2 linked regions of the Macaca fascicularis genome follow. The protein of the gene in region 1 interacts with the protein of each later gene in a pairwise test. Links are inferred from orthologs where the notes say so. Each region holds a gene or a part of one and is shown on either strand. Other genes may lie near its edges.

Region 1 (6,309 bases):
TGCAGTGAGCCGAGATGGCGCCATTGCACTCCAGCCTGGGCGACAGAGACTCCGTCTCAAAAATAAATAAATAAATAAATAAAATTTTATCAGTTTAGCAAGTCTATTAATGCTAAAAACAACACCATAAAGTTTTGATTAATCAGAAAACCTATTTCTTTTCTTTTCTTTTTTTTTTTTTTTAGTGTTGGAGGCCCTCCCTAAATGTAAAGGTTATTTCAACAAAGAAAACCATCCTTTTTCTAGGACCCCACATGGCATCAGTGATCTTAGAATCACAGGATCTTAGAGCTGTAGAGATCTCATCTAACCCCTTCAGTTTTACAGACAGGCCCTGAAAATGACAGATGCCAGGAGGTGGCTCAGGGTCCTGAAGCTGAACGATCACAGAGCCAGACGCGGACAGGCAGCCTGCGTCCACCCACTGCCCTTCCTACCACACTAGGTTGTTCCTCCGTTAGCTCCTTCCTTCCAGAAGTGGGGGGACATTTGGAAAAACATCTACTGACTCCAGGACAGAAAGATTCTTCTTGTGATTGTCTATTTCTCCTACAAGCAGGACACAGTAAATTCCAGTTAGAAAAAATGCCTGATAAATTCAAATGGTAAGGTATGCCTACGTTTGCTTTAATGACCCTCTGAAATAGCTGGTCAAGAGCCTACCCTTTCTAGAGGGAAAAGAACTCTCCAGATGTTCTGAATGTTTCTGTCATTTGCAAATCATCGCACAAAGGCTAAATTCACCAGGTGACTCCATACCATCTGGTGTGGGACAGATGTACCACAGAACTACGAGTACCTTCCATGATTTAAACAAATAAACAAAAAAAATTCAAATGTAAAATGCTCTCTTTTTAATTACTAAATTAAGAAAGTTAAACAATTTAAAAATGTAAACTCACAAATGAATCATAACAAAAAAGGAATTAAGAGCTGCTAGTCAGTATTAAAAACTCAATAGAAATAGGATTTTTGATTTGTTGGTGTTAAACATATGTAATTTAAGGTGGTACAAACAGCAACTAAAAATGTAATACTCTTTTGTTTTTGTGCATCCCCATGAAATGTAAAGTAGTGCATAGTTATTCCACTGGAGAACTCCTGGACATATAGAAAGTCATTCATTAGCAGTACAGGACATTTAAAACACTTATTTTACAATGGGAAATGTGCAACCCCCACCCTCATTTCCCCCAGAAATTTTAGTTGCATGAGAAAGTTTAGCAGGCTGCCATGACTACAATGCTATGGGTTTTAGATCATTTAAATGTGGTTACAGGTTTATTAAATTAAAAATGTCTGAAACATTTCAGCACTCATATTTTTATACAAGAAGTTTGTGTGGTATCCATCTTCCAGTTCTCTCGGTAGCCATTTGCTTGCTTATTTTTAAGTTTTGAGAACAAACGGCAGTAAGTTGAAGCAAATACTGCTAACAGAACTTGTAAATTCAGCCTGGGGGGGGCGGTTCCTGAAAAGAGTCAAAGTAACAGCCATCTACAGGTACAGTCATGAACCAGGAAAGTGCAATCCAAATGAAAAAATTCATGCTTTGCAAAAGCCAAAAATGAGGCCACTGGTGTTTTCAGAATAACACCAGTGCTTTGATGCTGACTTACAGTAAAATCCTCCCTCTGGGTCCCATAGCTTGGTGGCCCAGGCTGGCCACAGTCTCCACATTAGCACCCACATTGTATATGTACAGGGACATATATATTATATATATATTCATATTTATAAAAAAGAAAACAAAAACAAACACCTGTCCTGATTGGTTTTTGTTAAAACATGAAAAAAAATTTTATTGTTTTAGACAAAGAGGCCACTTTTGGAAAATAATACTTTTTTTTTTTTAGTTGAATCAGGTGAAGACAGAGTTAAAATCACATAGGATTTGCATTTTTAAAAAAGGAAAGCACTAGGATTGTTGGCACTGGAGTAACTATTTACACTGAACAGAGGTTTGGCCTTTTACATAACATCGATACAATGCATTTTCCAAAGTCTGAGAAATAACAAGGTTCTGTCTCGAATGCTTCACAGAGGAGGTTCGGATTTGGGGACAAGTGTCATTAATGAGGGCCATGGAAGTTCGTCAGCTTCAGAGTCACATGCAATCTGATCCTGGGCGGTTCTGCTGCTGGGGAGCAGCCGGCTACGGAATTGAAAGCTAATGGGGAGGGGTGGGGCAGCCTCTAGGACAAGGCCTCTCTCCGCAGACCCGGGCCTTACAGGTTTTCACCAGGTTGGTACTGGGGCTCTGTGGCGGTAAAGTAGTCTTCCAGGAAGCTCTGCAAGTACTCAAAAGTAGGGCGTTCTTCAGGGTCCTTTTTCCAGCAGTGGATCATGAGCTCGTGCAGAGAGATGGGGCAGTCCTGCGGGCAGGGCATCCTGTAGCCTCGCTCCACCTGCTCCAGCACCTCCCGGTTGTTCATGCCTGCAAAGACAAGGGCAGTGAGAGTGGGCACCCCGGGGCTCCAGGCCCTGACCGCCACACTTGCAGATCCCCTTTCTTCTTCTTTGCATCTGCAGGTGGCTAAAACATGTGAAGTGCCCCCATTCCCCCCAGGAGTCAAACCTTGCCATGCTACTCAGAAATAAAGGAGTGCAGAACCGAGACATGCAAAAATCCAGAATGACTCTCCAAAGCAATATAAGTGAAGCAAGCCAGACACAAAAGGCAACATACTGTATGATTTCATTTATGCGAAATTCTAGAAAAGGCACAACTACATCTACAGAAAGCAGATCAGTGGCTGCCTGGGGAGGGGAGGAATCCCTGCAAAGGGGCCAGAAGGATCTCCAAGTGGGATGGGAATGTTCAGTGTCAGGGTCAATGGGTCAACAAGCTTTTCCTGTAAAAGGCCAGACAGTAAATATTTTTGGCTTTGTGGGTCACATATGATCCCTGTCTTCTTCTTTTTAACAACCCTTTAAAAATGTACAAAACACACACAGGTTGGGGGCCAGATCTGCCAACCCCTGTTCTATATTATGTATGGGGTGGTGTGACTGTTTATGTTTGTCAAAACTCAATAAACTGCATTCTTAAAATTGTTGAATTTTATTGTGTGTAAATTATACTTCAATTAAACTGACAAAAATATATGAATAAAGCAGACAAAAAAATCCACACAGAATGAAAGCATGCTGCCCCTTGTTTATAGCATTTATAAACTCCATTTATGAACTTCATAAATTTGTTTTCCTCATGCTTGGGCAAACTCCTAGTTCCTCACTGTGGGAAATCTGCCATCATGCCAGCGTGGCTGGGCACTGTCTGGCCCTGTGACCCCACTGCCCTGAGGTTTGGTGAATCTGATGGGGAGACAGACCATGTCCGGGGCCTATCTCTACTGATGACCTCAGCCAGGCCATCCATCATCTGAGGTCTTCCTGACTCTGGGGAAGCTGCTGAAACACTGGGCTGCATAGCACTAACAGAAGACAGATCATTAACTCCTTAGAGAGTGCGGACTCCTGCACACTGGCCGCCTTAACACTACAGGAACTACCATGCTTAGGGGGTGGCCAATGTCCTGACCTCTTCCCAACTACTGCCGACCACTGTTCTCTAGTTTTGCTTCCCTTTTTCATTAGATCACCTTCTGGCAGCTCCCTGTCAAGCTGTGCTATCCTTTGGTTGCTTCCTGGCTGGTGAGGCTGTCATCTGGAATCCTCCCCAATTTCTGACCTGGTTAATTTGCAGGAGCAAGAACTCGACGTCAAGCCATATAGAAACCAAGATTTCTTCCCCTCTTTCCCAGGGCTACAGCCAGCAGGAGCACACACCATACGCATGGAGCTCGCTCCCTTTACTTCCAGGGGAGGTGGTGACCTGCTAGCTGGAAACCTGTCAGCACAGCCAGAGGCGCTGGCCCAGAGCACAGCCTGTCCCCCTGGGCAGGGAACACTCAGACTTTGGGGTCTGTTGCCAGTCCTCGTGGTTGTGTTGTTACTTGCAGAGCTGAGTGCATCCTGGCTCCTCCTGGCTGTCAACCACAGCCCGTCCGTCGCACGTCCCTCCAGACCTTTTCAGGATGCTTTCTTACTCTCTGCCATGATCATTTCTTGAGATAATAAAAATTCATATATTATTTCTGCTGTACTGAAGTAGGCCTTCAATGCAATTGTCGTAAAATAACCTCACTCACGTGTCAGGGCGACCCCTTATTTCAGAGAGAGAGGTTTGGTGAGGGAGTCAGGGTCCCTGCCTCTGTGCCATGCATGCCTTTCCAGTGACTTCCTCAGTTGCTTGGGCAGAGGGAGAGGCAGCACTGTGGCTAATTAGCCTACATCCTCCTCCAATGGCTGAAAACGGGGGATGGGGGCGGGGGAGCTGGAAGCAAGGGAGGAACTGGAGCTGCTCGGGAATGAAAGGCAGGCTTCTCTTTGGGCTCTAGACAAATGCGGTCAGAGGCCAGCATTTCCTTCTCCACAATTCCGCAATCCAACAAGCTCTGAACACCATCAAGTTTTTGTAACTCACTTGACTGCAGAACTGATCTGAACTGACCTCATTTGGCCACAAAACCTGAAATGGTTACGACACTATTTACTGTTTCTATTTCTTCATACGTATTGCCCAGAAAGATTAGGAAGGAAGAGTGTGTAATCACATAGCAGAATTGGCATTCTCCAAAGCATTTGCCTTGCCGCATCTTTCAGTACAGTCCTTGGTTTCATATTTCAGCAACGACAGAGCTTGGACCTGCAGAAATCTCCTGTGTCTCTGTCCCTTCCAGGAGCCCACAGGAACTGGAGGGGAGACAGGCAGAAGGGCCTGACAGATCCTTCTGGGGGTGGTACAGCCCCTGAAATGCCTCCTAATGCTTGACGCTGGCTCTGAGTGCCGCCACCCAAAATGGCAGCACAGAATTTAATCATTTTCCTATTCTCCACAGAGTGCATGTCAGTACGTGCTTCATTTCATTAAAAAACTACTAGCCGGGCGCGGTGGCTCAAGCCTGTAATCCCAGCACTTTGGGAGGCCGAGGCGGGTGGATCACGAGGTCAGGAGATCGAGACTATCCTGGCTAACATGGTGAAACCCCGTCTCTACTAAATATACAAAAAACTAGCCGGGCGTGGTGGCGGGCGCCTGTAGTCTCAGCTACTTGGGAGGCTGAGGCGGGAGAATGGCGTGAACCCGGGAGGCGGAGCTTGCAGTGAGCCAAGATCACGCCACTGCACTCCAGCCTGGGAGACACAGCGAGACTCTGTCTCAAAAAAAAAAAAAAAAAAAAAAAAAAAAAAACACTACTCAAACGGAAAGATTTCACTTAAAAATAAAGTTTTCATCCAATGTCTGCCAGTGGAAAGTTTAATTGGCCACTGGGTCATTTTTCCAGTGCTCAGTCCAAGCCTTGGACACAGCAGACTTGGTGATGTGAACCTCAACATGTAGTGTCTTCCGAGGCAGTCTGCTTCCTGGGCATTTGGAGGCCAGGGGATAGGGTATAAGCTGGACTATGCAGGGCCCTGGCAGACCCACAGGGTCAGGCTCCTTCTCGCTCTCCCCCTTTTCCTGTCTGAACCCCTCTGCTCTTCCCCACTCCTCTTCTCATGTTTTCTTCTGCGCAGACCTCTCAAAGCATGGGAAGCGTATGAAAACAATTCCACGCACTGGGCCAAGTGGAAATATACCAATGATAGCTTTGCCAGGAAAGTGGGATATTTCCACAATGCACTTGGCTGACAATGACAACTGGAATGGGACTAGCTCTTTTCCAACCATCCATAAACCAGGACTGGCACGGGCTGACCTACAGACCTGGCCTCTTCACAATGTACCTCTGCAACAATAACTGCAATCAAGATACGCCCACTCAGCAAGGCTTAGGCTAGTTTTTATTTTATAAACAATAGCTAAAAAAAAAAAAAAAAAAAAAAAAAGTTAAATTGAATGGATTGTGTTAATTCAGGGTGAGTGTCCCTTCTCTGAAATGCTTATGATCAGGAGTGTTTTAAATTTCAGATTTTTTAGGATTTTGAAATATTTGCATCATAGGGCTGCTCAACCTAAAGCGGAGCATTCCCTTTGAGCGCTGTCAGTGCTCAAGAGGCTCTAGATTTTGGTGCATTCTGGATTTCATATTTTTGGATTAGGGATACTCAACCTGTATTTAAAATATAGTGTTCTCAGCTATATGAATTTTGAAAATCATGTTTTTTTAAAAATAATTTTTTAAAATGGCTTTTACTCTGCACACTACCAAAAAGATGGGTCTATTTCATTTTTTTTCTTCTTAGATGGTTTCATATTTTTGTTAGAGAGAAAACTGTCATTTCCTCTTTTTAGTCACTTTT
Region 2 (5,997 bases), on another chromosome or scaffold:
TACTGGTGACTCAGTAGGTGGCACTCTTCCCTTTACATACTCAGCCAATGTCCCAGAAGGAAGTTATGAGACACTAGATACACCATAAATAATTCTCATAGGAAAAATAAAATCAAAATGTTGACCAAATTATAAATGGAACTTTGGAAAGGTGGAAATCAAACCGTAATATACTCAGCATTGAAAAAATTCTGCCTCTATTTCAAATAAATTGCACTCTTCACCTAGTGCCCCTACAGAAATCCCTTTAGGGGACTGATTATATACCCTAAATAATATTGTGTGAAAAAAAATTCATACATTATAATCAATGTGTGAAGATAATCAATGTCCCCTAAACATACTGATTATCTTCACACATAGTGTGTGGGAAAAACATTTTTAATGTTCTAAAAATTCCCAGTAGGGAAAATGTGGTATTTCTAATCAAGACTGCCATGTGAACAAAACCTCAAGATCACTTTGCAGAAACTATATAACCACTTTATTTATTGTTTGTTTGGTTTGGTTTCATTTTTCAGAGCACTAACAATCACTATTTTCCTCTTTTAACAATGGTTTCATTTGCTAATTTAGTAAACAGAAAATAACATCTTCTTAGAGCTTTCCTTTTAAAATTTGTTGTCCTAAAACAAATGAATGAGGATGAATGAGAATATCTGATTGCAAGCCACTAAAAAACCATTATTTAAAGGGTGATTAAACAAATAAAGGAGGCTGGAGGGAAGTGGTTCTAGTTCCTCTTACTTTCTGGCCTGCCTAGAGAAAAAAAAAATCACATAAATCAAGATTATTCTTGCTGCTAGTCCTTGTCAAAATATTTGGATGTGAGAGAAGATTAAATGGACAAGATTTGGGATTGTCCTTTGATTTCAATTATCCAGGCTAAACCTGTTCTTCCATTGTTGTAGAAAAGAAAAAAATCAAAGGTTGCCTGTAATGCATATGGCAGCTCAAAATTTGCTTTCAATAACGAAATTCTGTAAGTCCTTTTCTGTTCATATAACCAGAAGAATAATCAACATTTTATAAAAAGCATAGGTCTTCAAGACTGACTCCACAGAAAATATAACTAAAAATCAAACTAGATAGCCACTTTTTCAATGGTATCTTTACACAACACATGTGAGTTAACAATAATAAGCTTTTTTTTTTTTTTTTTTTACATTTCTATGGAATGTTTTTTATAGGGGAAGGAAGGGAGAGGGAACAAATGTTGAAAGTATAGCATAGAACTGCCATAATCAGAAAAATAAAGAAAAACAATAAATAAGAATACACTTGAGTACCTTCCCTTTTAAGCAGGTGAAATTTCAAACAATACATATGACATATAATGATTTAGATAATAGGCATATGGAACACAAACAGATACATCTAAACAACATTATTTTTAACAGTCATTATCTTTTGATTTTATATTCTTCTTTCTGAAAACAAAGGACTTTAAACCCCTGAAAAGTTTAGTTCCTTATCTTCTCTACCTTGGAATTCTAGCATAGTACCATACATTCTAAGAGCACTCAACTGTTAACTACAACAACATTACCAATATCTCCTTAGTTTCAAAGAAATATGCTAAATAAGCCAGCAATATCTCTAATATTCAAACCAATATAAATGCTTCTATAATGTTAGTTACTCTAAATCTACTCATATACTCTTACCCAATAAACTTGAATTATGAAAAGAATCATGTATAATGCCAACAATATTTTTAGATGAAATACGTGAAATAACTGCTGACAGCATCTATTCTTGAAGCCTTCTCTACCTCAAAAAAGATTTTAATTACAGTCAAACATAAGATGTTAACAATTTTCCAAATAAGTTTTTTAAAAACCCAAAAAACACTGATTTGTTAAATTTCTTTAAATATAAATACACCCCAACTCACTTCCATACTTCTTGAAAATATCCTCTGAAAATAAAGTGTAATTTAAGTTTCTAATTCCAAAAGTTTTAATTGTAATATTTGTTTTTAATACTTCATGTGTTTTAATATGTGATTTGCTTTAATAATATAAAATAGTGAAAATGTCAATAAAATGACTTTAATTTCAGACGTTATGCTAGTATATTACCTGACTAAAGAGAGAGGGCAGAAATATATCGGAAATTAGCATTGGCAGATAATTTAAAGATGTAATTTTGAGTTTTTAAATTACACAAATAAGGGCCACATGAAATACTTGTGATCTATGGGAATAAGAGAATAAAGGTTCTCATGACCTACATATCATATTATCTGTGATGTATGATTATGGATCCAAATAACAAACTGCACTATGGGAGTTGCCAAGCTTTAAAACGTGCACCTAGAGGTCTATATGTTAGTTCTTAAATTCAAAAATACAGACATAGAATATCCTGAAAATTGTTTCATCTATTTTTGGAATAATGATAAACACTTTTCTGCACTGGTTATTACAATAATATTCTAAATAAACAATTCCAGCACTGTAACAACAAAAAATGTTAAGTGTAGTAAAACAAAATCAGTAGTCACGCAGATGTAATAAAGCTGCCTGAAGTCAGTCTTTAGACTTCTTTAACTATTTCCCTTAGTGGTACCCTTTAATGACAACAAGCATTTCTTAGAGTGAAAGGCTATCCCACCACAAATGCATTCAACATACTGTACCGTAATCATACAAACATAAGTCTACATTCATACACTTAGTTTTCATTTCCCTACCACATTAATAATGCCAAGCACCAAAATTGAATAACAGCATATTAGGAGATTTGGACTCACATTGCTATAGGAGTAACCTACTATTTCAAATGTCACATTTTAGATGATGTTGCTTTTTAAGAGTTATAATAAGCAATCTGTAATCTATTCATGAACAATACTGAAAGATAAATATTTTATAGAATCTAAAACTAAAAATCGAAATTCAGTTTCCAGAATTCTGACGTACACAAGACAAAATAAATGATGGTTGAAATTCCAGAACATTAAGATAGGCAAGATTTGTGCTACCTTAAAAAGATATATTTTCTAACTTGTACAGAAATATAAATTTTTATTGGTTCTTAGTGAACATACACACCTCCATATCCAGAAAATTAATGAACTAGTAGTGGATTCATAATGCTACTGAAGAACCACGTTTTTAGCTCCTAAAACAAGTTCCTATAAATGGTAATGTAAAACTGAAAAAGGGAAGATAAGGGTGCAAACATGAAGTACTTTCATCGTGTCACACAGGAAGTAGAACTTTAACATATCCTTCCTTTTTTGCTTTAATATATTACTGAGGCTGGGGACAAGTGGCCATTTGAGAACCAGACCTTCTTCAAAAGTTGTAAACGTGAGTGAGCTGAATGTTTAAGAAAAACAGGAGTTTTAGAAATGACAAACTCTTTCACCCCATAACCCCTAACACCTGTGGCTCTGACATCTCTTTGCATCTCTACATCCTCTACCTCCATTGGCCAGACCACCCAAGAACTACTTCTTTGACTTCTGCTCCCTTCTGCCTGCTCACGCAGCATTCATTATCATTCTCTCCCTCTACCACTCTTCCTTCCCCGCCCTCCTCTGTCACACACACACACACACACACACACACACACACACACACACAGTCTTCACAATGCACATAGAAACGTCCTGATCTCACTTGTGTAGACCACCAAAAAGGGCTTCGCCACCATCCCCGCACCAGATTTCAACACACACGCCCACTCCCTTTCTGAGACGAAACAACCCTTCTTCTCTCCTCCCTGTGCCAACCCCACTGGCTAGAAGACGTAGGGAGCGTGCGGATGGAGGATAAGGGCTCTGAGTGCTTCTGTCCCCACCGGCTTACCGTTCCCTCGCCCCCGCCCCAACAGCATTACCGCCGCCTTCCCGCTCTTTACCTGCCAACAGGTTCCTAATTTCCTCAGGGAGGGGGTATGGAGAGGAGGTGCTGCTGGGGTTGGGCATGTTAGGGAGCGCAGGGCGTGCGGGGAAAGAACCTGCGCTGAAAAGGTGACCGACGGGTTGGGGCTGCGGCTGCGACCTAGACTCAGGCTAGCGGCCCGGATAAAAACAGCGGGGCTACAAGTCGGGACACTGGCGGGCCAGGGCTCACAACAAGGAAGTCACTGAATCTCCAGCAAGCAGCAGCTGGACTGTCGGCCCAGCCCCGCCCAGAGGGTCGGGGCGGGGAGATGGGTAGGAAGAGACACGAAGGGCCTGAGGGGTCCAACTGCGCATGTGTATTCCTCGGTTTTCCCGGCCCCAGAAGAAAGAGCCTCTGGGCAAGCCACGCCCACCGCTACGCCGGGAAGCAGGAGGAGGAGCCGCTGGTGGGAAGTGGGCGGACTGAGGCTGCGTCACCTGATCCAGCGTCCGAAGCGCCTTACAGCCATTTTTGGTACTGGTGCCACCACACCTGCTGATCGTTTCTCCAGGATTCCAGAAAATAATGTATCCGTGATACACAGTGTATAGAAGTTTTCCAATTACGCCTTCTGCGTAACAGTTAGTCCCACCGCAGTTTAACCCACAAGGAATTTTCTATTGTCCAAAACTATTATGGCCTTCTTTGTCCGATTGAACGGAGGTAACGAAGTCTCATCTTCCGCCAGTCGTCCCGGAGAAGCCAGTCTGGAGCCGCCCCGCAGCGCGCGTTGTGATTGGCTCTTACATTACTTTTCTACCTAATTCATATCCTTGGGGTGACAGATTTTCCCCACTATAAGGAAGAATGGGAAGTTCTAAGCACTGTCCTTTGGCAGGAAAAAACAAAACAAAACAAAAAATCAGAAGGCCTAATAGACATAGGCACCACTGTCCATCTACAAGCATCAAAAATAAAATTGCTGGTGGTGATTAGTAGAATAAAATTATAAAATCTGCTCACTCCAACTTGACCATTTAGTCAACAAATACTTATTGTCTGCTATGTGTAAAGCTTCTTAAAAGTTTTCTCTTAAAAAAAAAATGGCTTCTTTAAAACCTTTAACAGGCATACATCTTTGTGCTTCCCAGATACTACATTTTTTAACAAATTGAAGGTTTGTGGCAAGCCTGCATCAACCAAATCTGTGGGCGCCATTTTTCCAAAAGCATGTGCTCACTTCATGTCTGTGTCACATTTTGGTGATTCTCACAATATTTCAAACTTTTTCATTATTATTATTATATATGTTATAGTGATCTTTGAAGTTACTATTATAATTACTTTGGGGCAGCACAAACAGCACCCATATAAGACAGCGACTGTAATCCATAAATGTGTGCATTCTGACTGCTCTACCAACCATACCTTCCCCCCATATCTCTCCCTCTCTTGGGCCTCCCCATTACTTGAGACACAACAATACTGACATTAAGCCAATGAATAACCCTACAATGGCCTCTGAGTGTTCCAGTAAAAGAATCACATGTCTCTCACTTTAAATCAAAAGCAAGAAATGTTTAAGCTTAGTGAGGAAGGCATATTGAAAGCCGAGACAGACCAAAAGCTAGGGCTCTTGCACCAAACAGCCAGGTAGTGAATGCAAAGGAAAAGTCCTTGAAGGAAACTAAAAATGCTACTCCAGTGAACATGCGAATGATAAGAAAGTGAAGGAGACTTATTGCTGGTAAAGAACGTTTTCATGTTCTGGATGGAAGATGAAACCAGACATAACATTCCCTTAAGCCAAAGCCTAATCAAGTGCAAGGCCCTAACTCTCTTCAAGTCTACAAACGCTGAGAGGTAAGGAAGCTGCAGAAGAAAAGTTGGAAGTTAGCAGAGGTTGGTTCATGATGTTTAAGGAAAGAAGCCATCTCCAGAACATAAAAGTGTAAGGTGAAGCAGCAAATGCTGGTGAAGAAGCTGCAGCAAGTTATCAAAAAGATCTAGCTAAGGCCAGGCATGGTGGCTCATGCCTGTAATCCCAGCACTTTGGGAGGATGAGGCGGACGGATCACGAGGTCAGGAGATAGAGACCATCCTGGCTAACACAGTGAAACCCTGTCTCTACTAAAAAAAATGCAAAAAAAAAATTTAG

What was found.
Region 2: the proteins of FYN (region 1) and SKAP2 interact in a two-hybrid assay, tested with the Homo sapiens proteins (2 studies listed by BioGRID and IntAct, with this or other methods). The link is inferred for Macaca fascicularis from reciprocal best matches to the Homo sapiens genes FYN and SKAP2.

What each region holds. Positions count from the first base shown.
Region 1 is NC_088378.1:15,713,264-15,719,572, forward strand, and holds the end of FYN (tyrosine-protein kinase Fyn), read right to left. Parts: intron 2,438-6,309; coding exon 2,229-2,437; 3' UTR 1,776-2,228; downstream 1-1,775. UniProt on the Homo sapiens protein: Non-receptor tyrosine-protein kinase that plays a role in many biological processes including regulation of cell growth and survival, cell adhesion, integrin-mediated signaling, cytoskeletal remodeling, cell motility, immune response and axon guidance.
Region 2 is NC_088377.1:103,398,549-103,404,545, reverse strand, and holds the start of SKAP2 (src kinase-associated phosphoprotein 2), read right to left. Parts: upstream 4,101-5,997; 5' UTR 3,941-4,100; coding exon 3,874-3,940; intron 1-3,873. UniProt on the Homo sapiens protein: May be involved in B-cell and macrophage adhesion processes. In B-cells, may act by coupling the B-cell receptor (BCR) to integrin activation. May play a role in src signaling pathway.